Linked DNA regions of Kluyveromyces lactis. The protein of the gene in region 1 purifies or fractionates together with the protein of each later gene. This does not show direct contact. Links are inferred from orthologs where the notes say so. Each region holds a gene or a part of one and is shown in the gene's direction. Other genes may lie near its edges. The genes, in order: TIF6, ERB1, PUF6, RSA4, NOC2, CIC1 and DRS1.

Region 1 (2,565 bases):
TCTCTGTACCCTGAGTAACCCTAAGAGTACATTAGAAAATACTTCACATTTTTCGTCCTTCTTCAAGGAGTTATCATAAAACTTATCGAGCTCTTTTTCTATCGGGACCACTTCTTCATTTAAAACATGGGAGTTTTTATACATGTTGATGGAATCCCGAATAAAGGGTAAAATATTCCTAGTGAACAACATATGGTTTTTTTCCTTTCTTGATATTGTAGTACTAGCAACGGTTGAGGTCTCTCTAACGTCATTTCTATTCCCATCGTATGATGATGATGAGAAATGGGACACGTAATCTGAATTTGTCACTGTAGCCCCAGACATACCGGGAATTTTGTTGCTTTCCGGATGGTAGTACAAAGGGTCTTTTAAACTTGTCGTTAATCTTAGATCAATTGCAGGTGGTGTCAGTTTAGGTAAGAGCATTGACTTTAATTTGGAAATCTCATGGTTCTTCTGTTCCAATTCCAATTGCAAATGGAAGTTTTCGTTCTTTATCTTACTGACAATTTCTGTTGGCATTTCATTTTCCGTATTAACCAAAACTTCTGCTCTGCGATCCAAACAGACATTTTCATTCAATTTATCAGGTTTGCTCGAGACTTTATGCCTTCTATTCAACTTCGATGGGGATATTGCCTTCAATGACATTGCTTCCAATCCAGACGTCAAACTGCGCTCCGTTGTACTATTACAATCAGTCATCTTGGAAAGAGAAAAATGATTCAGTGAAACTTGATTCTTATGAATTGCTTGCCACTGATCGAACAGCTTTAAAATGTTTTCGTAAATGTAACTTACTGCAGGTTAGATACATGCAACATGCTTTTGTGTCAATATATTTGTTGTGAATGTGTCGCTTTTTCAGCTTGAAGCTGTTTAAATGTCGGAAATTGACGACTTAGTGAAGATATTCGACGCAAGTGCGGGTAACAAATAAAACACGCTCAGGTGTACGGTATACCCTGCGTTGAATCGTCTGGTGATCAGAAGAAAGAATGTGAAATGGAGAGCTATTTCTCGTCTAAGCTTCGAACGGTTGTTGGATAACTCTCACTGATCAAATTTATACATCTATAAGGGTACGAGATACCCATATAGTACTGTATGTGTGTTCTTCTCCGGGTAACCTAATTTGTGTTTCGTTTCTTTAAAACACTGCAATATGGAAAATTTTAAAGATTTCACTGGATAATTTCTAAGCTCATCTCATCTCATCTTGCGGATGGTTGATTCGGCTTGAATTAGTACAGTTCTTCTGACTTATAAACACTAGTTCTGCTTGTTACGCCAGTATACCACTGCAGATAAATCAACTGAAATTATGGCGACTAGGACACAATTTGAGAATTCTAACGAAATTGGTGTGTTTTCGAAGCTAACTAACTCGTACTGTTTGGTGGCACTTGGTGGTTCGGAGAACTTTTATTCTGCGTTTGAAGCCGAATTAGGAGATGCTATTCCTATTGCTCATACCACTATTGCAGGTACGAGGATTGTTGGTCGTATGACTGCTGGTAACCGTAGAGGGTTATTGGTTCCAACTCAAACTACCGACCAAGAATTACAACATTTGAGAAACTGTTTGCCAGATGCTGTGAAGGTTCAAAGAGTTGAGGAGAGATTATCTGCGTTAGGTAATGTTATCTGTTGTAATGATTATGTTGCTTTGGTTCATCCAGACATCGACAGAGAAACTGAGGAGTTGATTGCCGATGTCTTAGGTGTTGAAGTTTTCCGTCAAACAATTTCGGGTAACGTTCTTGTTGGTTCATATTGTGCGTTGTCTAACCAAGGTGGTCTAGTGCATCCTCAGACTACAGTACAAGACCAAGAAGAACTTTCCTCTTTGTTGCAAGTCCCACTAGTTGCTGGTACTGTGAACCGTGGTTCGCAAGTCGTCGGTGCTGGTATGGTCGTGAACGACTATTTGGCAGTTACTGGTCTAGATACCACCGCTCCAGAATTAAGTGTGATCGAATCTATCTTCCGTCTACAAGACGCTCAACCAGAAGCTATCTCTGGTAACTTGCGTGATACTTTGATCGAAACTTACTCATAAAAGGAATTGATACAATCGCTCTCTTCTGTCATTTATATCGTTTTGGCCCCCATTATCGCCCCATTTTTTAATGTAATATTGGTGTATATCTCTGGATCTGTATAGTACAATTTTTATTTTGATTGCTCTTTGGCATTTGCATCAACCCCATACTGTTTATTTCCTTCTTTCTTTTGTATTTTGTGCATCGTGGTTCACTAAGTACTACTGGACCCAAAAGAAACCTTTAAATTTAAATGAAACAAAAGAATCGAAAAGTTGTAGTTCCTTTAACATCAATTTTTAGATAGGTAAAGACAAGGTAAAAGGGGAACATCGATCAAATAAGGTTAAAAGGTTGCTGTTACCGTAGTGAAACCATGGGTATTAAGAAGTTCTTCAAGATCAAGCCACCTCCAGAGGCTACCCCCGAAGAAAACCGTGAATATTTGAACGAGTTAGGAATTTCCACCAAGACTACACCATCAAATAGAAGAGAAAAGTTTGCCGCATATGGGAAG
Region 2 (4,185 bases), on another chromosome or scaffold:
TCCCAGGGCATATAGCATGTGATGGGGAGACAAAGAGTGAAATTGTGGTTCCTATAGTCCAAAATGGCGAAACAGTAGGTGTTATCGATATTGACTGTTTGGACTACAACGGGTTTACTAAGCTTGACCAAGAATTTCTAGAAAAATTGGCCGCTTCAGTTTCAAAGACATGCGTATTCTAACTCATTAAGTAGTTACACTCGTTAATTATATTCTCTCAATTGATATCACAACTCTTGACCGTATATGAAGTTGCCTGTTATTGCATACCTAACATAGGGCATGCTGCCCCAGGTCCAGTGGAACAGAAGTTTTCTAGTTTTCAATGAAAAAAATGATTTCGCCCAGGATCGAACTGGGGACGTTCTGCGTGTTAAGCAGATGCCATAACCGACTAGACCACGAAACCATCTTGTGAGGTCTGTCGTAATATAGACTGAAGACAAGCCAGACGAGAGGTCATGTGAGCTAGCCAGCACACGGCAGAGTTCCAAGACGTCAGTGACTGGGCATATGGATCCTGTGGTATCCAGAAGGGATGGCCTAGATGGATCATAGACGGTCACGTGATGGTCTTGAGTGCGCGTGGAGGACGGTAGCTGCAGAGGACCTACAAGGGCATGGAGGCAATGAGTTGCCATGACGAAGTCTGACGACCATCCGAGTATATAAGTCGAGTATAAAAGGCTGAGCTATGTTGCGACCTCTTGGGGAGGTTGGACGCATATACTCAACGATCTAACTAAATAGATTATTATATTATATTCGTTATATTGTTTGATATCAACGATCCCTCATCAGGCGATTAATCAATCAACTATCATCCAAGGCATATCACAACAAGATCTGAGAGAACTACATGAGTATATGTTACATCGTTAAGAGTTTCTGAAGAAACGAAATAGGTCTCTCTTATCAGCGCCCCAAATTGGAATAATGAAGTTTACTGGAAATAGCTTCTTCAATGATGAAATTACAAACTTGAAAACGATGTTGCATCTACTAGAATAAAACTAAGATAACTGTCTATGATGCAAAAAAAATAAGAGTTAAGAATTACATTCATTGTAGGCTAGCGACCAAAGTAAATATCTTCAACGTAAGTAGAAGTATATGTGGAGTTGATTGAATACCAGTTCCCTATCTTTGCTGAAGGGTACTTTGACTTTTTCAAAATAGCATTCTTGTTCAAAACTTTGTAGAAGTAATTAATGTATCGTAATTTTCTTTCTTTTTGTTTCTTAAAATTTTCAATTTTCATCTTGAGAGATGAGATGAGATGAGCTGAAGTGAATAGACCACAGAGATAACCAGTACTTCTCAAAGTTAACGGCATCAGAAGAAGCTCTGAAAGTATAGAGAGCCAGAAAACAATACCAGAAACTATGGCCAGAAAGAATTCTTCTTTGAATGGTTCTGAATCAGCGGAGCTTGTTGTAAAAAAGAGAGTTCTCGAGGAATCTGAATTGTCCGATTCTGAAGATGAAAGAATTGAAGTTGATGGTTTAATCGATGAAGAGGCTAGCGAAAATGAAGCTGAGGAAGCTGAAGATGACGACTCTGATGCTGAATTCAATCGCTTATTAGCTGAAGAAGAAAATGGACAGGAGGAGGAGTATAATACTTCAGATTTTTCTGAAGAAGGCGATGCTTTTTCCATTACCGACAAATTGTCAAATGTAAAGTTAACAGTGATTCCAGAAACAAGCGATGAAGGCATTGTTCGTACCAAGTATTCAGATGGAAGACCAAGAATTCTTAAGTCAGAAATTAATCCTGTTTATGATAGTGATGATAGTGATGCAGAAGCTAAGAACACAATTGGTAACATCCCACTATCTGCATATGATGAAATGCCACATATTGGTTATGACATTAATGGTAAGAGAATAATGAGACCAGCCAAAGGATCTGCTTTAGATCAATTATTGGAATCTATAGAATTGCCAGAGGGTTGGACAGGTTTACTAGACAAAGACAGCGGTGCCTCTTTGAATTTGACCGAAGAAGAACTTGAATTAATCAATAAGTTGCAAAATAATCAACAGACGGACGAATCTGTGAATCCATACGAACCTTTAATCGACTGGTTCACTAGACACGAATCTGTAATGCCAGTTACGGCCGTCCCAGAACCGAAAAGACGTTTCGTTCCGTCAAAGCACGAAGCCAAGCGTGTGATGAAAATAGTCAAAGCAATCAGAGAAGGTAGAATTATCCCACCAAAGAAACTAAAGGAATTAAGAGAAAAAGAAGAACAAGACAGTCATAACTACGATCTCTGGGGAGATGCCGAAGAAATCTCTGAACATGTTATGAACTTGAGAGCCCCAAAATTGCCACCACCAACAAATGAGGAGTCTTACAACCCTCCGGAAGAGTATCTTTTGACCCCAGAGGAAATTGATGCATGGGAAAAGATGGAACCAAGTGAAAGAGAGAGAAATTTTGTGCCTCACAAATTCGCTGCATTAAGAAAAGTTCCAGGTTACTCTGAATCTGTCAGAGAAAGGTTTGAAAGATCATTAGATTTGTATTTAGCGCCTCGTGTTCGCAAAAATAAGTTGAACATTGATCCTGAATCTTTGATCCCAGAATTGCCCTCTACAAAAGATTTGAGACCATTTCCAATCCGTTGCTCTACCGTTTATGTCGGTCATAAAGGAAAAATTCGTACAATGTCCATTGATCCAACTGGATTATGGTTGGCTACTGGTTCCGATGATGGCACTGTCAGAGTATGGGAAATTCTTACAGGTAGAGAAGTTTACCAAGTCACAATACTTAATGCGGAAGAAAACAATGATGACCACATAGACGTTGTTGAATGGAATCCCGACAGTACTACCGGTATCCTTGCGGTTACTGCTGGCGAAAACATCTTCTTGCTTGTTCCACCAATTTTCGGCTTTGAAATTGAAAACACAGGTAAATCAAAGATTGAATACGGTTTTGGTTTCGATACTTTCGGAAACGTCAAAAAGAGTAATCTCAATGTGAATAGCGATGATGAGGATGACGGTGCTGAATCACATGCTGTCAAGAAACAGGTTGCTCAATGGAATAAACCAACCGAAAGGCAAGCTGCCAATGATATTTGTATCGTAATAACTTGTCGTAAATCAGTGAAAAAGCTTTCATGGCATAGAAAAGGTGATTACTTTGTCACTGTTCAACCAGACTCAGGTAATACATCAGTTTTGATTCATCAATTATCCAAGCATTTAACTCAATCGCCATTCAAAAAATCTAAGGGTATCATTATGGATGCAAAATTCCATCCATTCAAGCCACAGCTCTTGGTCTGTTCTCAAAGATACGTCAGAATTTATGACCTATCGCAACAAGTGCTAATCAAGAAACTTCTACCTGGTGCTCGTTGGTTATCTACTATTGATATTCACCCAAGAGGTGATAACTTAATTGCATCCTCGTTTGACAAGAGAGTGTTGTGGCATGATCTTGACCTTGCAAGCACTCCATATAAGACCTTGAGATACCATGAGAAGGCTGTAAGAAGCGTAAGTTTCCACAAGAAACTACCACTGTTTTGCTCAGCTGCGGATGATGGTAACATCCATGTTTTCCATGCCACGGTCTATGACGATTTAATGAAGAACCCTATGATCGTCCCGTTGAAGAAACTAACCGGCCACAAGATTGTGAATAGTTTAGGTGTTCTAGATACTATATGGCATCCACGTGAAGCTTGGCTATTCTCTGCAGGTGCCGACAAAACCGCTCGTTTGTGGACTACCTGATAGAACCCTCATGACGGGATATTTGTAAAACACTGTATACTATGGACATCATTACCTATCAATATTACAAGTAGATACTTTCTAATTAGTGTTCAAGGGAATACATTATTATCTTTGGATCAGAGCTCAAAAGGTATCCATGTCTCTCATCATTGCCATTTCCTCATCTGATGCGATATCATTACCGTTATTTGTTGTGCTGGCAACGGTCGTAATTTTACTCAATTCGTCTAACTCTTCAGCGTTAGGCAGAGCGTAGCCATTTTGTGTATGTTGCCGTATGTTTGTATCAGTGGTGGACAACATTTCATTCGTGTGCCGCTGGTGATGCGAAGAATATAGAACATCATCATCATCATCATCATCATCATCATCGTCATAGTTGCCGTCATTATTCTGATTTTTGTCTTTGTCTAGGCTGATA
Region 3 (3,696 bases), on another chromosome or scaffold:
CGTTGCCGGTACTAACTTCGTATTCACTTTAGTCGCTTTCTTTGCGATTGATAAGGTCGGTCGTAGAGCAATCCTTTTGATTGGCTTGCCTGGTATGATGGTTTCCTTGGTTATGTGTGCTATCGCCTTCCATTTCCTAGATATAAAATTCACTGGCGCTGGTGAATCGGAAGTTTCCAATGGTGGATTCAGTTCTTGGGGTATAGTCGTTATCGTATTCATCATGGTATATGCAGCATTCTATGCTCTAGGTATCGGTACTGTACCATGGCAGCAATCTGAATTATTTGCAACATCCGTTAGAGGTGTAGGTACTTCTTATTGTACAGCTACTAACTGGGCTGGTTCCCTAATTATTGCATCTACCTTCCTAACAATGTTACAAAACATAACACCGACTGGTACATTTTCATTATTTGCTGCACTAGCTGCAGTATCTACCGTCTTCTGTTATCTCTGTTATCCAGAACTATCTGGTCTAGAATTGGAGGAAGTACAAACTATTTTAAGTGATGGATTCAACATCAAAGCTTCCAAACAACTAGCCAAGAAGAGAAAGCAACAAAATAGCGAAATGCAAAGGAGATTTAGAGAAAAGGACATGGAAGCTTATCAAAAGGATAAACCCTCCGATGAACTACTTGAAAGTTAATGTAAATGCAGTCATTCCCTCTTATTCTCATACCCGAAGCTACTGTCTTGGTTTTTCAATGAACTTCATATGAAGTTGAGTATATAGATAACCATAAAATCTTTTAGAATTAACAACTATAGCTGCTAAAGTTGTCCACAATTACTACTGTAATATTATCATTGTCATGTGTAAAACTCAACTTGTTTGTGATTTACAATAAAAATCTCGTTAGTTTGAAAGGGTGACATTTACTCATTTCATAATTAACTAACTCGGAAGAGAGAGCTTTCGAGAAATAGAGCTAAATCTTTGAAGCATGTAATAAACTGCCATATTCGGTTTAATCAGCCAAATCCTGTACCAACTGTATATTCCCCCCATCAAAAAAAGAGAGATTCTGGCGAATGTTTATTTGAGTTCTTTCTTTTTAGCATATTATGAAAATTTTCTGAACTTGAAAAAGAAGCGATGAGATGAGATGAGCTTATACAGTAGTAACTGCACTATGGGTAGCATTAAATAACAACATATACATTCTTATTCTCTCTCGTAGGACAATACAGCACTACAGATATGGCAGCCACGTCGAAAAAGTTGAACAAGCGTCAATTGGAATCTAAGGAGTCGAAGGATTCTGGTAAAATTGTAAAAAGAGCTAAAAACATTAGTGTTGATTCTGGCGATGAAGATTCTGATGATGTCCTCCACGGTTTATCTTCAGAAGATGAGCTAGATGATGAATTAGATGATGCTAGCTCAAATTCAGATTCAGACGAGCTAGACAACGAATCTGATCAACTGGATGAATCTGATGAGGATCAAGAAGATGCTGAAGATGAAGAAGATGCTGGAACCGGAAATGATGCAGACAAAAAAGAAAGTAATGGTGTCAGCCAGCATGCCGAACAAAGAAAAACATTAAAGGAGAGAAAACTTCAGCGTAAATCTGGTGAAACAGTCCAGCAGATCAAGTCTTTATGGGAAAGATTACGTGTCAAGAACCCTCCAATTCCAAAGCCTGTCCGTGAAAAGCTATGTAATGAGATCTGGGAACTCTCGAATGATTGTATTGAAGATTTAGTATTGAAGCATGATGCATCCAGAATTGTCCAGACATTAGTCAAATATTCTTCCAAAGAGCGCAGAGAACAGATCACGTTGGCATTGAAAGATAAAATTTATGTTTTGGCCACATCATCATATGGTAAATATTTGTTGGTTAAATTGTTACATTATGGTTCCCGAAAATCTAGACAAATCATAATCGATCAACTACATGGTAATTTGAGAAAACTAATGAGACACCGTGAAGGTGCCTATGTGGTCGAAGATTTGTTTGTTCTTTATGCCTCTCAAGAACAAAGAAATCAAATGATCAGAGAATTTTGGGGTTCAGAATACGCCGTATTCAGAGAATCTCATAAGGAACTTACGCTCGAAGAAGTTTGTGCTTCCAGCGTAGAAAAGAGAAATATTATCGCTAGAAACTTGATTGGTACCATCACTGCTTCTGTTGAAAAAGGTTCGGCAGGTTTCCAGATTTTACACGCAGCAATGAGGGAATACGTCAAAATCGCCAACGATAAAGAAACATCTGAGTTCATCGAACTTTTAGAAGAGAACTTTGCGGAATTAGTGCATACCCCAGAAGGTGCAGAAGTTGCATCTACTTTAATCGCTAAAGCAAATGCCAAAGAAAGAAAGGGGTTGATAAAGACCTTGAAAGAACATGCAATCAAGTTAATTCAAAATGAACACGGTGCCGTTGTTTTCATAACTTTATTAATGACAGTCGATGATACTGTTCTCGTCTCCAAGGCATTTTCCCCACCAATTAAGGAACATCTTCCAGAATTGATTGTTGATAAATTTGGTAGGAGGCCGCTCTTATTCCTACTTTTAGGATTAGATGGTAAATACTTCGGTCCAAATATGAAGAATGAACTACAAAGATACATTAAGATGTCGGAAACTACTTCCAAGAAGCCATTTGACCAAAGAAGACTTGAATTATTAAAAAGGTTCGCACCAATGATTTTATCTGGCGTAAACGAACACTACAAAACCATTCTAGATGAAAACATCGGTTCTCAATTTGTCGCAGATTTACTCGTTAACGATGATGTCTATGAACAACTTTCAGAGTCTGATCAAAAGTTGTTTGCCGAGCTTGTGGACACCGTCGCCATTTATTTCAAAGGTGACATTTCAGAAGAAGACCACCCTATTAACAAACCATTTTCGGCAAGGTTGCTAAAGTCTCTCATTCAAAATGGTAGATACAACGTGAAAGCAAGAAAACTAGAACCTCTAGAAAAAGTTCAGGGACTTGGTATTCCATTTGCTGAAAAATTTTATGAAGACATCATTGATTCCAGCAACCTACTCGATTGGATCAACAAACCCAACAGTTCTTTTACCATTGTGGCATTGTATGAAGCCTTACATGGGACTGAAGAAGGGGAACAATTCGATCATGATTTGAAAAAAGTGATCAAGAAAATAGAGACGAACGATTCAAACAAGGGTGCTCAACTACTTCTAAAGCTAATGAAGCATTGAGTATGTATAGTCAAGTCGTTATATAGTTTGGCTCTAAAATATGTATATTAAAGATGATATAGCTTCTCATCATTGTGGACGAAGGACGTTCTAGTCTACTATTAAGATTCACACTTCCTTAAATGAGACTATCATCTGCGAACCAGAGATAATACAGCTAAGAACATTTATTCCTCAATTCACTAATTACAGCAGTGGCATTGATGGCTTATGAATGACGATACTAAAGAGAAACCCATTTCAACTGCCTTTGAAGTAACCGATGGATTATATGCTGTTTCACCATTAATCGAGAATGTGCCTCATGAATATGAGTACTCATGTATCGAATATTATGGTCAGCACATCTACCTGGGCTCGACTTCAGGAGCGTTACTACACTATTATGAATTAGATGTTGGAAATTTCACACTGATCTCGGAAGTCAACTTCAATGAAGACAGACCAACAGGAATTGATGGCATAACGCTACTGCCGAAAATTGATAGAGCCTTAGTGTT
Region 4 (3,421 bases), on another chromosome or scaffold:
GGTACTGTATATTCCGCTGTTAACCTAGATACTGGTGATATTTTAGCGGTAAAAGAGATCAAAATCCAAGATGCTAAATCCATGAAGCAAATTTTCCCATCTCTCAAAGAAGAAATGCGCGTCATGGAGATCTTAAATCACCCGAATATTGTTCAGTACTATGGTGTGGAAGTTCACAGAGACAAGGTTAATATCTTTATGGAATTCTGCGAGGGTTCCTCCTTAGCCAGTTTACTCGAACATGGCCGGATTGAAGATGAAATGGTAACTCAAGTTTACACACTACAATTACTTGAGGGATTGGCATGTTTGCACCAATCTGGAGTTGTGCACAGAGATATCAAACCGGAGAATATCTTATTGGATCGTAATGGCGTTATCAAATATGTAGATTTTGGTGCCGCAAAACTCATTGCAAAGAACGGATCAAAGAGGATATCACTGGATGCCAATAACAAATCTACAGGCGGGAAAGATATGATCGGAACACCGATGTATATGGCACCAGAAACGGTGACTGGTCAAGGACACGGAAAATTCGGATCCGATGATATATGGTCTTTAGGTTGTGTTGTACTGGAAATGGTGACCGGTAGACGTCCATGGGCTAACTTAGACAATGAATGGGCTATCATGTATCATGTTGCAGCTGGTCACCTTCCGCAATTCCCAACCAAGTCTGAAATTTCATCTGCGGGTAGAAAGTTCATAAGCAGATGCTTAATACAAGATGCCAATAAAAGAGCAACTGCAATGGAATTGTTACTTGATCCCTGGATTTCTCAAATACGTAACATTGCATTTGGTGGCAATGCAGAATCTTTTAATAATGAAACTCATAACTAGTTCTGATAGACATAAAAGTTTCCTCCCCATGACGATCATATGTAACAATTGTAACCATAGATTTTTTTTTTGTATAAGTATTGTATGTATATATAATAATAATAGGAACTTTTGTTTGACTTTTTTTTAAACAATGCCGGATCCGTATAGTATCAATGTAACATGCACTTTCCGTTATCTGTGAGTTGCTTGCCAGTAAGTAAATTGCAGTCTAGGAATTTTTTGTGCCTGATGCTCCCCATAAGGTATTCAGAGCATAGTTTCAACATAATAAAGATTTATATTACCCGGAAGTGGTGAACTAAAAGAAATTCTTAAGTTCAAGAAAATCTTTTGAGATGCCGATGAGATGAGATGAGATGAGCTTCAACTACCAAGTCGACTTCCCTAAAAAGGAGAAGGTTCTGGTGAACGATATTAGTATTCCAGCAATAATCACAGGTCTTTTCTCGAAAGAAGTTTTTAGGTAATTAAACGAGCCCAAAATAATTCTCTGAATTTGTTAGGCCAAGCAATCCAAACGAAACATGGCAACCTTACTCCCACCGCCTTCAAAGAAGCAAAGAAGAGAAGCTCAAGCTGAACGTGGAGTTGACCTTATTCCCAAAGACCTTCCAAATGTTCTCATTAAATTCCAAGCTTTTGACAGTGGTGAAACTGTTGGAGGTTCTCTAAGGGTTCCAGGTGGTATTTCGGAGCAGCAACTGGAGGAATTGTTGAATCAGTTAAATGGAGACTCGGCAGATCCTGTTCCATACACGTTTAGCTGTTTAGTTAGCAACAAAAAGAAGGATGCAGATGAGGAAATGGTAGATATTAGAGATAATCTATATCAATCCATTTTAAAACCAGGTTTGAAAACTACCGAAGATTTTTTGACTCTAGTGTATACCCCAAGAGCTATCTTCAAAGTAAAACCAGTAACTCGGTCGTCTTCTGCAATTGCTGGTCATGGCTCGACAATTTTGTGTTCTGCATTTGCTCCAAATACAAGCTCCAGGATGGTTACCGGTGCTGGTGACAATACTGCATGTATCTGGGATTGTGACACTCAAACGCGTATGTGCACGTTACAAGGCCATCACAACTGGGTCCTATGTTGTTCCTGGTCTCCAGATGGTGAATTAATCGCCACAGGTTCTATGGACAACACAATTAGATTATGGGAATCAAGCAAAGGTAAGCCTTATGGTGATGCTTTAAGAGGTCACTCGAAATGGATTACCTCCTTATCTTGGGAACCAATCCATCTTGTCAAACCTGGTGACAAACCGAGATTAGCAACTGCATCCAAGGATGGAACTATCAAAATCTGGGATACAACAAGAAGAGTTTGCCTTTTAACCTTATGTGGCCATACGTCTTCTGTTTCCTGTGTCAAGTGGGGTGGAAAAAATGTTCTATACAGTGGTTCTCACGATAAAACAATCAGATGCTGGGACATGAATTTGAACGGTAAATGTATCAATATCCTAAAATCACACGCCCATTGGGTTAATCATCTTTCACTTTCAACAGATTATGCATTAAGACTCGGTGCGTTCGATCACAAGGGCGAAACTCCTGCTTCACCTGAAGAAGCCCAACAGAAGGCTCTGAAAAATTACGAAAAAGTTGCTAAAAGAAAAGGTGACTTCGAAGAACTGATGGTAACTGCCAGTGACGATTTTACTATGTATCTGTGGAACCCCTTGAAGTCTACTAAACCTATTACCAGAATGACCGGCCACCAAAAGCTCGTCAACCACGTTGCATTTTCGCCAGATGGCCGTTACATTGTTTCTGCATCCTTTGACAACTCCATTAAATTATGGGATGGAAGGGATGGTAAATTCCTATCCACCTTTAGAGGACATGTAGCGAGTGTCTACCAAGTAGCTTGGTCAAGCGACTGTAGACTACTCGTTTCTTGTTCCAAAGATACCACTTTAAAAGTCTGGGATGTCAAAACTAGAAAACTGTCCGTCGATCTACCCGGTCATCAAGATGAAGTCTACACTGTAGATTGGTCTGTAGACGGTAAACGTGTATGTAGCGGTGGGAAAGATAAAATGGTCAGGATATGGACTCATTGAGTGGATCCACTGCATCTGAATAATTAGCATGATTAAATTATAGACTGCCTTATGTATGTTATAGCTTCTTTTACATTTATTATGAGGTGCACAGGTGTCCCTTCTTCTTACAAGCTGAAAATTTTGAAAAATTAAAGCTTCAAGCATAGTTGAAAAGATGAAGAACGATTCAGCCGGCATTTACCATAGGAAATCGATAAGTTATCTATATAGTAAGAAAGGTGTACACCGGGAAAACCTGCATAACCACACAACAGCCTACTAATAATACAACGGCTAGTTAATAATGCTTACAAGAGTTACAAGAAGTTTTGCGGCTATGAGCCCAAGATCATTTCGGATTTGTACTAGACTACAATCAACCCAAGCACAGCAACCACAACAACAGGAAAACTCAGAAATTGAGCTTTTAAATGAACTTAAATCAGAAATGGACAAATTGGGACCATTATCTGATGCCGAAAGTGCCGAACTCAGTGCTTTATTTGACAGTCAAAGTC
Region 5 (3,895 bases), on another chromosome or scaffold:
TGGTAAAGTTGGGAATATGTGATACTCCACCTTCATTGAAGATGGCCCTACGGCGAGTACTTTGTATTTGTTCGTGGCCTTTTGGAGGACCAATAACGTTGCCTCTCTTATCAAGTTGAGCTTGGAAACTTGTTGATTTTTCATGGAGCAAAGAATTAATGAGAGACGTTTTCCCAACGTTAGGATTACCCAATAAATAGCATCTTTTAGCCAAAGCATTTATCACTGATGGAATATTCCAATTTCTTGGGTTAGAGAACAATACTACTTTCTTAACATGTACGCCTATATGACGTCTACAAAATTCCGCAAAAAAAGCACTCCCTTTATGTGGTAGCATTGATGACTTGTATGTGATCTGATCAGCCTTTGAAAGTAGTAAATAGTTTCTATTATTCTTTTCTGCCAGGATAGTTTTGTCTAATGACAAGGGAAAGTCAGACAAAGACACAACGTGGTATACGTTTGCAGCATGCGGCAAAGCGCCCTTTATATCGTTGAAAGAATGAATTGGAAAATCAGATGAGTTGTACCTGTTATGACTTATAGCATCGACACATCTTTTACAAACCAATCTTTTGGGAATAGGTTCTTTATAATCTGGATCGGTGTCTGGATCAAGTAGCCCGATTTCATGTTTTTTTAGCTGAAGTTCTTGTGTGAACATTAAATACTTCAAATCTTCAATGGTGCCAGCATCTTTCCTGACAGCGCGAGGAGGCTTATAGTAGCCTGTCACAGAAGGATTCTTGGATTGCAACTCAACACCACAGCTTTTGCATGATACAAACCGAGTAAACTGCTTAAAAGCTTGGAGCCGTGATTTCATAAAAGGTAATACTACTACTATTTTCTGATGCATATACCTCAGTACTCTTATCAATAACGGCTCAAAACTGTTGCATCTCTCGACATTCTGTTTGCAGTTTGTTGCATCTTTTGTCGATACCTTTCCAAGCATGTCAATTACCATATTACTTGCACTATTCATCGATGTCAAGGCGATGCCATTACCCGGATACAAAAAGAAACGCCATGAAAAGTTTTCCAAATATCCAAACCAAAATTCAATCCGATGAGATGAGATGAGATGAGATGAGATGAGATGCCCCAAGAAGAGATATAGAGAAACTTTAACGCAGCTCTAACAACTTAACCAGTAGTCGCTCTAGATAATCTTCTTGAAATCATATTGTTGATCAAAGGCATAATCTTGGGACCTGTTACCTATTGATAAAGGGATCAAGAATTACACAATGGGTAAAGTTTCAAAAGCTACTAAAAAGTTTCAGACGAAACACTTGAAGCATACGTTGGACCATAGAAAGAAGTTAAAAGATCATTCTAAGAGAACCGCCGGTCGTAGGGGTAATAAGACAGAAGAAGAAAAGAATGCAGCTGCGTTGACCAAAGAAGATCAAAAGTTGAAGAAGTCCGCTAAGGAAGAAGTCTTCAACGACATGAAGGTTGAAGAGTTCTTCGACAATGGGTTCGATATTCCAAAAATGTCAAAGAAAATGGCTAAAGAAACCGAAAAAGCATCAAAGGTGAAAGATAATGATTCAGAGTCTTCTGCCGAAGAAGATGAAGATGTTAAAATGGATATGGAAGATTTGGCAAAGAAGGATCCTGATTTCTACAAATATTTGGCAGAGAACGAACCAGATCTTTTGTCTTTCAAATCTACCAATCCTCTAGATGAAATATCAGATGACGAAGAAGGGCAAGTGGGTGAAGAAGAAGAACTGAAAGAACCTGATTTATCAAAGTCCAAGAAGGAGGAAAAAGATAGCAAAATTGCCGTCGACATAAAGCTCGTAAATAAATGGAAGAAGGATTTAAAAAATAGCCCATCTTTCAAAACTATCAGAAGTGTGGTTTCAGCTTTTAAAGCTGCTGTGAACATGAACAACGAGGAAAATGTAGACGATTACAAGTTCACAGTTCTTGATGAAAAAGCCTTCCACGAGTTAATGTTCGTTGCCCTTGTGGATATGCCAAAAGCCGTCCAAAAATTGACACCTTATAGGGTCAGTAAGAATGAAACCAGAACTCTCCCATCAAATAAAAATGTTACAAAATTGTCCTCTGTTTTGAAATCGCACGTTCCATCTCTTATCGTTCTCCTAAGTGACATCACAAACACAGACGTCGCTTCAATGATTTTGCATTCTACCTATGAGCTATTACCATACTTTATTTCATTTAGAAGATTACTAAAAGAATTAATTTCTCAAGTCGTCGAAGTTTGGTCCACTACTGGAGACGTTGAAACTCAAATTGCCACATTCGCGTTTTTGAACAATGCCTCTCGTGAATATAAGAAAGCTTTATTAGAAGTTGTATTGAAGTCCACGTATTCTACTTTCATTAAAAGTTGTCGTAAAACTAACATCAGAAACATGCCTCTAATCAATTTCCAAAAGAACTCTGCTGCTGAACTTTTCGGTATTGATGACGTTATAAGTTATCAATCGGGTTTCGAATATATCAGACAACTAGCCATTCACTTGAGAAACAGTATCAATGCCACAACTAAGAGGTCCTCAAAGGTGGACCCATCAAGTGCTTACAAGATTGTATATAACTGGCAGTTCTGTCACTCTTTGGACTTCTGGTCTCGTGTTATATCCATCCAATGTAACCCAGAAAAGGAAAACGGCCACGAATCCCCTCTTAGACAATTGATTTACCCACTAGTCCAAGTTACCATTGGTGTCATTAGATTGATTCCAACAGCACAATTTTTCCCATTGAGATTTTATTTGATCAGATCCTTGATCAGATTATCTCAAAACACTGGTATCTTCATTCCAGTTTACCCATTATTATCTGAGATTCTCTCCTCTACTGCATTCACAAAGAAACCTAGAAAGTCAACGTTACCTGCATTTGACTTTGATCATAACATCAAGTGTACACAAGCATACTTGGGGACAAAAATATACCAAGACGGGCTAGCTGAGCAATTTGTAGATTTGCTAGGTGAGTACTTTGTTCTATACTCCAGAAGCGTTTCATTCCCAGAATTAACAACGCTTGCCGTTATCTCATTACGTCGTTATATCAAGAATTCTGAGAATGTAAAGTTTAACAAGATGTTGCAAAACGTGGTAGATAAAATCAACCAAAACGCTCAATTCATTACAAAGAAGAGATCAGATGTAGACTTCGGACCAAACAACAGAACAGAAGTAGAAAAATTCTTAAATGAAATATCGTGGAAAGATACTCCTCTTGGTTCCTGGGTTGCTATCCAAAATGAGGTTAAGGAAGAAAAGGCCAGACTCTTAAGAGAATCCTTGGAATCTGACGATGATGAAGAAGAAGAAAATATTTCTGACGGAGCCCAAGACATAGTAATGGATGATGCTGAATCTGAAGCAGATGAATAATCAAATGATTGTATGATAAGTTCAAACTTTCTTCAATTTTAAATTCATTGGTAATCCTATGTCTTCGACCATCTTATATTGGATTGCCTCCTTGTCAAAGACATCGGCGGTAAATTTCATGAAAATAGAAATTACATTATGTAAATTATTTTAAACATGTATACTCAACATTACATTCAGAATACAAAGCTCGGGAGTACAATCTGCGGTAGGCATAACTTGACCAAGTGGAATAATTCTTATACCAGTACTCATTACAGGCGTTATGTCGAATGTCATGAATTTTGAAGGTGATAGTGAAACAACCTTAGTTCAAGAGAATGATTCATTTAGTGATATCTTGCCCAAGTTATCTTGCAGAAACCCTGAAGAAAGATCTACGGGTAGTGTGTTACTTTTAAAGGAGATCCGGAGGTTAGAGAACGATCTTGATCGACAAATACGAGATCTTACGAAGAAAGAGTTTGCTTTGAAAAGGGCAGTGAAAATAATGCAAACTT
Region 6 (3,019 bases), on another chromosome or scaffold:
TCTTCCTCTTTTGTTAGATATTTTACCGTCATCGTCTGAGTCTGATTCTGGTTCTGAGTCTTTTCGTTCGGTCGCTCCTTTTCTTCCGTAATCCGCATCTTCGTCTTCTTCTTGTTCTTCTTCTTCTTCTTCGTCAGAATCTATTCCAACAGCTTTTCTACGGTTTGAAGAAGGCTCAGTATCAGAGTCACTCTCGTAGTCACTGTCACTGTTTTCATCTTCAGATTCGCTATGTTTCCCTTCGTTAACTTCCTCAACCGCATCAAACCAGTCACTATATACATCTACCGGTTGTGATAGACCATTAATGCGGGTTTGGAACGATTGTCCACAAATCTTACAATGAAGCGAGCCAATGTTATTCTTTTTGTCCATTGTTACGCTCACAGAGCGTTCGTGATTACAGAAGAGACAATTGAATGCCGTATCTAACCTCTGTACTATCTTCTTGGCTGGACCTCTGGATGACTTCTTTCTCTTACCCATGTCTAATGCTCTTCTTATTTGTCTTGTGAGAGCGTATGCTTACCCCTGCGGCTAGATTTGATTAATATATGCTAATATGCCTTTTGCAGTATAAATGAACGGGGACGATGACTATGTTTACGATATAATAATAATAATAATAATAATAGCAACTTAATAACTCATAAATCAGATTCGTGCGGCGTATTCTCTGTTAAGGTATCCTTTATATCGATCGTGAGTCCTGTTTGACAGCCGAAAAAACCTAACTCAAAAATAGTACTGTTCCGAAATAAACCAGAGAAAGAAACCCTAAAATACACAGTTTAAGCCCTTTTGTATTGTAACCCCATTCACTGAACGTAGCCCGTTGCTCATTAGTAACTTTTGCACAAACACGCACCGAGATTCAATATCAGATTCGGTTACTCTTTATTTCTTAAGTGTCAAATGTTATCAAATTTCAAGAAAAGTTTCAAATCATATATTACGGCCTTCGCTTTCAAAAAGCAATATTTACTAACTACGTGAACACAGTGGAGCTCCTGCGAAACAGAAAATTTTTATTTTTGACAATAGAGAGCTCATCTCATCATAGCTCATCTCATCTCATCTCGAAGTATGTTGCACACCTAACACGATTAATAAAGTAATGGTATGTAAAGTATTTAAGTACCTATTCTTATTTCTCAGCTCAAAGGATTGATTAGATATATACTGGATATTTCATAGTTGCCAGTACGAACTCGAGAAGTAAGCTTACCTAGGTGAACCAACAATTTGTTGATCTTTTTCTGAGACAGTGCGAATCAAGTAAGTTAAAAAACGCTTGGAAAGAATCCAGAATATAGAGGAAATAACTCCACTCATCCAGTCTAGTATATCTACAAGCACATTATAAGCAATATCAAAGTTTAGATAATATGGCAACTAAAACTAAGAAAAGCAAGGTTTCGACCAAAGCCACCAAGGCTACTAAGGGCAGTAAAGAGGAAGAAGTCATTCCAGTTAACAGAGTTAACAATGCTGTTATTAAATTGCAAGAATATTTGAAGGAAAATGGATCAAATGACAATCAGTTAATTGATGATTCTGAATTGGAGGCTCAGCTACAGTTGATCCTAGTCAACACTGAATCTTTTACTGGTTCTTTGAAAAACTTCAAACCAAAACTAATTACAGTTCCTCATTCTATCTTCAAGCCATGGAAGGAAGCTAGCACCACCATGGTTAAAGATTTCAAGACTCTTTTGATTCTAAAAGATTCTGATATCAATTCAGTGACATCAGAAGACTTGATCGATCTACTTCCAGAACATATTACTATTGATGCCATCATATCTGGTAAAGATTTGAAGACAAAATACAAGGCTTTTGAAAAGAGGCGTGCATTTGTACAGGATTTTTCTTTCATTCTAGCTGATGACTCGATAGTGACAGCTTTGCCCAAGCTATTAGGTGGTAAAGCATACAGTAAGTTGAATACCACTCCAATTGCCATTAACACAAGATCGGATAACAAGTTTAACAAGACAACTTTGGTAAATAGCATCAAGAGAATTTATGATACTAAAATCCCAGTCAAACTTCCAAGAGGTAACACGATGAATGTTCATCTAGGTTCATTGGAATGGTTCACCCCAGAACAATTGACTGAAAATATCATTTCTGTCGCTAAACAGTTCATCGAAAAGTACAATATCAGAACCATTCTTCTCAAATCTAACGAATCACCAGTCCTTCCATTATACGTTAATTTGGAAGTATTAGACAAATTGGTTGGGTCCAGACATGATGCTAAGACTTCCGTTCAAAATGTCATAGAAATTGATGGTGTCGAATTGCAACTATCACAATTTGAGAAATCTTTGTTAGAAATTGCAAATCCAGACGAACTAGACTCCTTGTTTGCTACGCAAATTAAGCAAGCCAAAAGAAACTTGGAAGAGGTCGAGGCAGAAGAAGAGCAAGAAGAACAAAAGAAAGAGCAAACGAAAGAACAAAAATCCAGCGCTAAAAGACAAAAGACAAAGAATAAAAACGTAAAAAATTAGAGGTACAGGAGTATCGCGTTTTTTTTCATTCCTCTTTCTTAATTTCTATCCTTCACAAATATCGTCTTAAAACTTACCCATTTAGCATAGATTTAACGGCTGTCACCGCTCCTACAATGATAGTTTTCCCTACAAAATGTATTTAATCTGTACTCAAATTTTCCAGATAGCATCGATACTTTGCAATTCATAAAAGAATAACAGTAGTTAAATTCAGTGCGTTTTCGAACCAGCAGGAAAACGTTATTCCTAGTATTGTTTGGATGGTGCAAACCCATCGCCGCTCGAACAACTTTTCTGATGTGCCACATTTAGGTTTGCTGGTTTTTCTGTGTGGACTGGTGCGTCCATGCAGTCAGTGAAGGAAAAGGAAAAACGAAAAATAAAAGTGTCACAAAAAGATTTAATTACTATATTAAACATATGTCAAATATTATATAAACCACAGATTTCACAAACTTTCACATCATCACCTCTGTTATTCGTGCTTATTCGTAGTT
Region 7 (4,195 bases), on another chromosome or scaffold:
CAGGTCCAGGGTGGTTTAACCATATACAAATCTGGTGATGCAATGAAACAGAAATCAATCTTCCAATTGCTGGATGACCTTCTAGCCAGAAACCAATTATACATAGAAAACAGCCATAATGACGAGAGCGAGCAACAAAGCTTCAAATCTTTTCCGGAGGAGTAGAGGACTTGATTTCTTTATTGTTACGTCGAAAATGTCTCATGGTTTCGGACCCTTTGATTAATTGTCGTGATTTCATCAAGAATAATATAACACATTTCCATTACATAAGTATATAAACATGCAAAACTTTTTATTTTTGTGCTTCTAGATCTCTAAGTTCGATGCTTTTCCCTGGAACTTGAGAAGCTGGCTGGCTGGCACTGGCAGGTGCAGAATCGTCATCCACCATACCTTCGAAAAATGTGTCTTTCAACTCTCTCCACCTGGTAATCCAAGTCCCAAGGAAAATCAATATCAGTGTAGACAAAAATTGCAAGATAAACCATGCTAGTGAAGGGAATAGCCCTGTGTGTGTCCATACTACTACTAGATTTATAGCATGGATTGTAATGGCAAAATCCCACGCGAGTTTACTCCTTCCCACTATGATGGTCAAAAAAAAGACACAAATCAAGGAATCAATTAACCAAAGGGCTGATAAAGAAATACCAAAAGAGTTTGAGAAATCAATGTCCTGCCATGTAAACAACCATTGCTTTAGCTTTATTTCGTACCCACATATTTTCGCCCAGCAATAAAACAAAGTTGATGCAGTGAGATAATAGAACATTTGCAAGAGTATAATCTGAACGATTATTTTACCAGGGGACTGAGACTCTTGTTTGAAGATTTCAGTGGGTAATAGTTCTCTCGGAACACGCATGTATCGTCTAAGCGAAGCCATCTCCCTGATTGGTTGAAATGTCTCTAATCGGTCGCCTTTCTAAAACTGCACTTGGTACAGTTCAATTCTATCAAATATAACTGGTGCGAACAACCAAAAGAATTCACCGAATATTATAGGAGGAATGCAATAAGTAACGAAAGAGGACTAACTACTCAATTCTGTCTTTATTTTCAAGTCTCTCAAATCATGTCTCAATCACAACTCATCTTGGATTTAATATGTTGCTTAGAGATTCCGAACTAGTTTCCATGTTGACAACCAGTGGTTACCCTAACTTGACGATATGTTTTTCCTCAAAAGAAATTTTCCATGTTCAAGCTTTTCACATCTGGAATGGCGATGAGATGAGCTTGAGATGAGCTACGACAACTAGAATAACTTAGCAGTGAGTACTGTTCATTGTTCCTTATTATAACTTCTACAGGTGACATACTATTTATCTAGTGCTATTATTCTTCACTCATTTCTACTTTGCGAGAAAGAATAGAATTCTTGTTGTTCTTTGATTGAGTATTAAGGTAAGTGGAAAATAAAGAGATATACGGCATTCGTTAATATGGCTGTTAAGAAGTTTAGATCATTCGATGATTTTGTTCCTACAATTAGTGATAGCGAAGAAGATGTTCCAGATTTAGATGCTTCTGATGACGAAATGGAAAAGAAGCCAGTGAAGTCCTCAAAAACTAAGAACAAATCTAAAAAGAAGGCCAAGCAACAACAGGGATCTCACTTGGACGAAGATGTCCATGAAGATTTGAATCCAGAATTCCAATTCTCCATTGACAGCGGAGAAGTTACCACCAACTTTGCAGGCTGGGATTTCCAAGGTGATGAGAAGAGTGATGAAGTTGAGAAAAAAGATGTCGATCTAGATGGGATCATTAGAAGAAAAGGTGGTTTGATTATGATGGCTGCTACAGGCAGTGATGCCGAAGAAAGCCTATCAGAAGAGTCCGAAGAAGAACCAGAAGAAGGAGACGAACCTGGCGAGAGTGATGATGAAGATGAATTAGCTTTGGATGGGTTCGGTATGGGTGTCAAGAGAAAGGCAACAGAGGAAAATGAAGAAGATGAAGAGGATGAAGAAGAAGAGGATGACGACGAAGATGACGACAAAAAGACCGAAATGAGTCAGGCAGATTTAGGTAAGGGAAAAGACGAAGATGAAGACATTGAAGAAGACACTAAAGAAGAAATGGCTGAATTTTATGCTCCAGAAGAGGAAAGTGCGGATGCTAAAAAGATCGTTCATAAAACTTTCAACAGCTTGTCGTTATCCCGTCCTGTGTTGAAAGGGCTTGGAAGTTTAGGATACACCAGTCCTTCTCCAATTCAAAGTGCTGCTATTCCTATTGCCCTTCTTGGTAAAGATATCATTGCCGGTGCTGTTACAGGTTCTGGTAAAACAGCTGCTTTTATGATTCCTATCATCGAACGTTTGTTGTACAAACCTGCACATATTGCATCAACAAGGGTTGTTGTACTAACTCCAACCCGTGAATTGGCTATTCAAGTGGCTGATGTTGGTAAAAATATCGGTAAGTTTGTTAACGGACTAACGTTTGGTTTGGCCGTCGGTGGTTTGAATTTAAGACAACAAGAACAAGCATTGAAGACCAGACCTGATATCGTAATTGCCACACCAGGTAGATTTATCGATCATTTAAGAAATTCTGCGAGTTTCAGCGTTGATTCAGTTGAAATCTTGGTCATTGACGAAGCTGATAGAATGTTAGAAGAAGGTTTCCAAGAGGAACTACAAGAAATCATGTCTCTCATTCCAAGTAAGAGACAAACTCTGTTGTTTTCTGCTACAATGAACTCAAAAATTAAGCAATTAATCTCGCTATCTCTAAAGAAGCCTGTTAGGATTATGATTGATCCTCCAAAACAAGCAGCAGATAAATTGACACAGGAGTTCATCCGTATACGTAAAAGAGATCATCTCAAACCGGCATTATTATATCAATTGATTAGAAAGTTGGACAATACAAGCCAGAAGAGAATAGTAGTTTTTGTTGCTAGGAAAGAAACTGCCCATAAACTGAGAATCGTCCTTGGGTTATTGGGTATGCAAGTTGGTGAATTGCATGGTTCGTTAACCCAAGAACAACGTCTACAGTCTGTTAATAACTTCAAATCCTTACAAGTACCAGTCTTAATCTGTACCGATTTAGCTTCGAGAGGTTTAGATATTCCAAAAATTGAAGTGGTTATCAATTTCGATATGCCAAAAACTTACGAAATTTACTTACACAGAGTTGGTCGTACTGCCAGAGCGGGTAGAGAAGGTCGTTCAGTAACCTTTGTAGGCGAATCATCTCAAGATAGAAGTATTGTCAGAAGTGCGATCAGATCAGTGGAAGAAAACGCTGAAAGTGGAAAGGCCTTGAGTAGAAACGTTGACTGGACACAAGTCGAGCAAGTCAACAGCTTGATTGGAGCAAAGGGTGATGTTGTAGAGGAGATTATTGAAGAAGAAAAGCAAGAGAAAGAGATACTTAGAGCTGAAATGGAACTTCGCAAAGGTGAAAACATGCTAAAACACAAGGAAGAAATCAGTGCAAGGCCAAGAAGAACCTGGTTTCAATCAGAAGCTGAGAAGAAGAACTCTAAAATGCTTCAAGTTTTGGCAAAAAACAAAAAGCCAATCAACAGTAAGAAGAGAAAACAGCAAGAAGCATTGGCTGAGAATCCTCGGCTATATAAAAAGACACAAAAAGATCGTGTCGAATATCAGGAACGTCAATACAGCAAGAAGCAAGCTGCCTACGGAAAGAAGGGAAAGAAGGGTAAGAAATAAATTACTGTCCTATGTTCTTAGTTTTGGCTTAATTATCAATGCGCATGAAAATTCATTATATACTACATAAACGCAGTTGAGGTGTTATTACATAATCATCAACTCTCATTCGTAATATATACCCATCGAGAGTTGCTTTAGAGTTTCTGGATTGTAATAAAAGTCATCCGTTTCCTCCTCTGAGAAGGATTCCAGTGACTCATCATCTCTAAATTTATCATCAAGAGCAGCAAGTTGGACGTTCCTTCTTAATTTTATTAATGTATCGATTTGTTTCTCAGTTTCTGGTGATAATTTGGCGTGTTTACTTTGTGATAATAATTGTAAACCATCCAACCAGGTGTAGAAGCTCTCTGTACTCTCCAAGTAAAATGCAGATAAAATTTTCCCGTTTCTGTCAAAGGTGGTAACTTCTCTATAAATTGTGTTCTGAAGAATATTAATCAATCTAACACCTTCAGGAAGCTTTCTATCGAGTTCAATTTGCCTACTTTGAATGT

The links.
Region 2: the proteins of TIF6 (region 1) and ERB1 purify together in Saccharomyces cerevisiae (affinity purification with mass spectrometry; 5 studies listed by BioGRID). This does not show direct contact. The link is inferred for Kluyveromyces lactis from reciprocal best matches to the Saccharomyces cerevisiae genes TIF6 and ERB1.
Region 3: the proteins of TIF6 (region 1) and PUF6 purify together in Saccharomyces cerevisiae (affinity purification with mass spectrometry; 6 studies listed by BioGRID, with this or other methods). This does not show direct contact. The link is inferred for Kluyveromyces lactis from reciprocal best matches to the Saccharomyces cerevisiae genes TIF6 and PUF6.
Region 4: the proteins of TIF6 (region 1) and RSA4 purify together in Saccharomyces cerevisiae (affinity purification with mass spectrometry; 4 studies listed by BioGRID, with this or other methods). This does not show direct contact. The link is inferred for Kluyveromyces lactis from reciprocal best matches to the Saccharomyces cerevisiae genes TIF6 and RSA4.
Region 5: the proteins of TIF6 (region 1) and NOC2 purify together in Saccharomyces cerevisiae (affinity purification with mass spectrometry; 4 studies listed by BioGRID, with this or other methods). This does not show direct contact. The link is inferred for Kluyveromyces lactis from reciprocal best matches to the Saccharomyces cerevisiae genes TIF6 and NOC2.
Region 6: the proteins of TIF6 (region 1) and CIC1 purify together in Saccharomyces cerevisiae (affinity purification with mass spectrometry; 3 studies listed by BioGRID). This does not show direct contact. The link is inferred for Kluyveromyces lactis from reciprocal best matches to the Saccharomyces cerevisiae genes TIF6 and CIC1.
Region 7: the proteins of TIF6 (region 1) and DRS1 purify together in Saccharomyces cerevisiae (affinity purification with mass spectrometry, with the first as the bait; 4 studies listed by BioGRID). This does not show direct contact. The link is inferred for Kluyveromyces lactis from reciprocal best matches to the Saccharomyces cerevisiae genes TIF6 and DRS1.

The regions. Positions count from the first base shown.
Region 1 is NC_006040.1:175,407-177,971, reverse strand, and holds TIF6 (translation initiation factor 6), read left to right. Parts: upstream 1-1,327; coding exon 1,328-2,065; downstream 2,066-2,565. Other genes in the region: KLLA0_D02068g (uncharacterized protein), read right to left, coding at 1-708; SEC9 (Sec9p), read left to right, coding at 2,425-2,565. UniProt on the Saccharomyces cerevisiae protein: Binds to the 60S ribosomal subunit and prevents its association with the 40S ribosomal subunit to form the 80S initiation complex in the cytoplasm. Is also involved in ribosome biogenesis.
Region 2 is NC_006042.1:2,460,491-2,464,675, forward strand, and holds ERB1 (ribosome biogenesis protein ERB1), read left to right. Parts: upstream 1-1,385; coding exon 1,386-3,761; downstream 3,762-4,185. Other genes in the region: KLLA0_F26587g (L-methionine (R)-S-oxide reductase), read left to right, coding at 1-182; CSM3 (Csm3p), read right to left, coding at 3,888-4,185.
Region 3 is NC_006039.1:1,047,906-1,051,601, forward strand, and holds PUF6 (pumilio-family RNA binding domain-containing protein), read left to right. Parts: upstream 1-1,207; coding exon 1,208-3,196; downstream 3,197-3,696. Other genes in the region: myo-inositol transporter ITR1, read left to right, coding at 1-652; CORVET complex subunit VPS3, read left to right, coding at 3,407-3,696. UniProt on the Saccharomyces cerevisiae protein: RNA-binding protein involved in post-transcriptional regulation. Component of the ASH1 mRNP which transports the ASH1 mRNA to the distal tip of the bud, where the ASH1 protein is translated and targeted to the daughter cell nucleus.
Region 4 is NC_006039.1:748,364-751,784, forward strand, and holds RSA4 (Rsa4p), read left to right. Parts: upstream 1-1,373; coding exon 1,374-2,921; downstream 2,922-3,421. Other genes in the region: mitogen-activated protein kinase kinase kinase SSK2, read left to right, coding at 1-846; IMG2 (mitochondrial 54S ribosomal protein mL49), read left to right, coding at 3,208-3,421. UniProt on the Saccharomyces cerevisiae protein: Involved in ribosome biogenesis. Required for processing and efficient intra-nuclear transport of pre-60S ribosomal subunits.
Region 5 is NC_006042.1:102,265-106,159, reverse strand, and holds NOC2 (mRNA-binding ribosome synthesis protein NOC2), read left to right. Parts: upstream 1-1,256; coding exon 1,257-3,395; downstream 3,396-3,895. Other genes in the region: GEP3 (Gep3p), read right to left, coding at 1-991; MEI5 (Mei5p), read left to right, coding at 3,661-3,895. UniProt on the Saccharomyces cerevisiae protein: Involved in the intranuclear transport of ribosomal precursors.
Region 6 is NC_006042.1:2,032,635-2,035,653, reverse strand, and holds CIC1 (Cic1p), read left to right. Parts: upstream 1-1,388; coding exon 1,389-2,519; downstream 2,520-3,019. Other genes in the region: ELF1 (Elf1p), read right to left, coding at 1-486. UniProt on the Saccharomyces cerevisiae protein: An adapter protein that specifically links the 26S proteasome to its substrate CDC4 which is one of the substrate recognition subunits of the SCF E3 ubiquitin ligase complex. Required for turnover of cell cycle regulatory proteins CDC4 and GRR1.
Region 7 is NC_006042.1:1,453,287-1,457,481, forward strand, and holds DRS1 (putative ATP-dependent RNA helicase), read left to right. Parts: upstream 1-1,448; coding exon 1,449-3,695; downstream 3,696-4,195. Other genes in the region: CYR1 (adenylate cyclase), read left to right, coding at 1-165; SYS1 (Sys1p), read right to left, coding at 296-889; LMO1 (Lmo1p), read right to left, coding at 3,801-4,195. UniProt on the Saccharomyces cerevisiae protein: ATP-binding RNA helicase involved in ribosome assembly.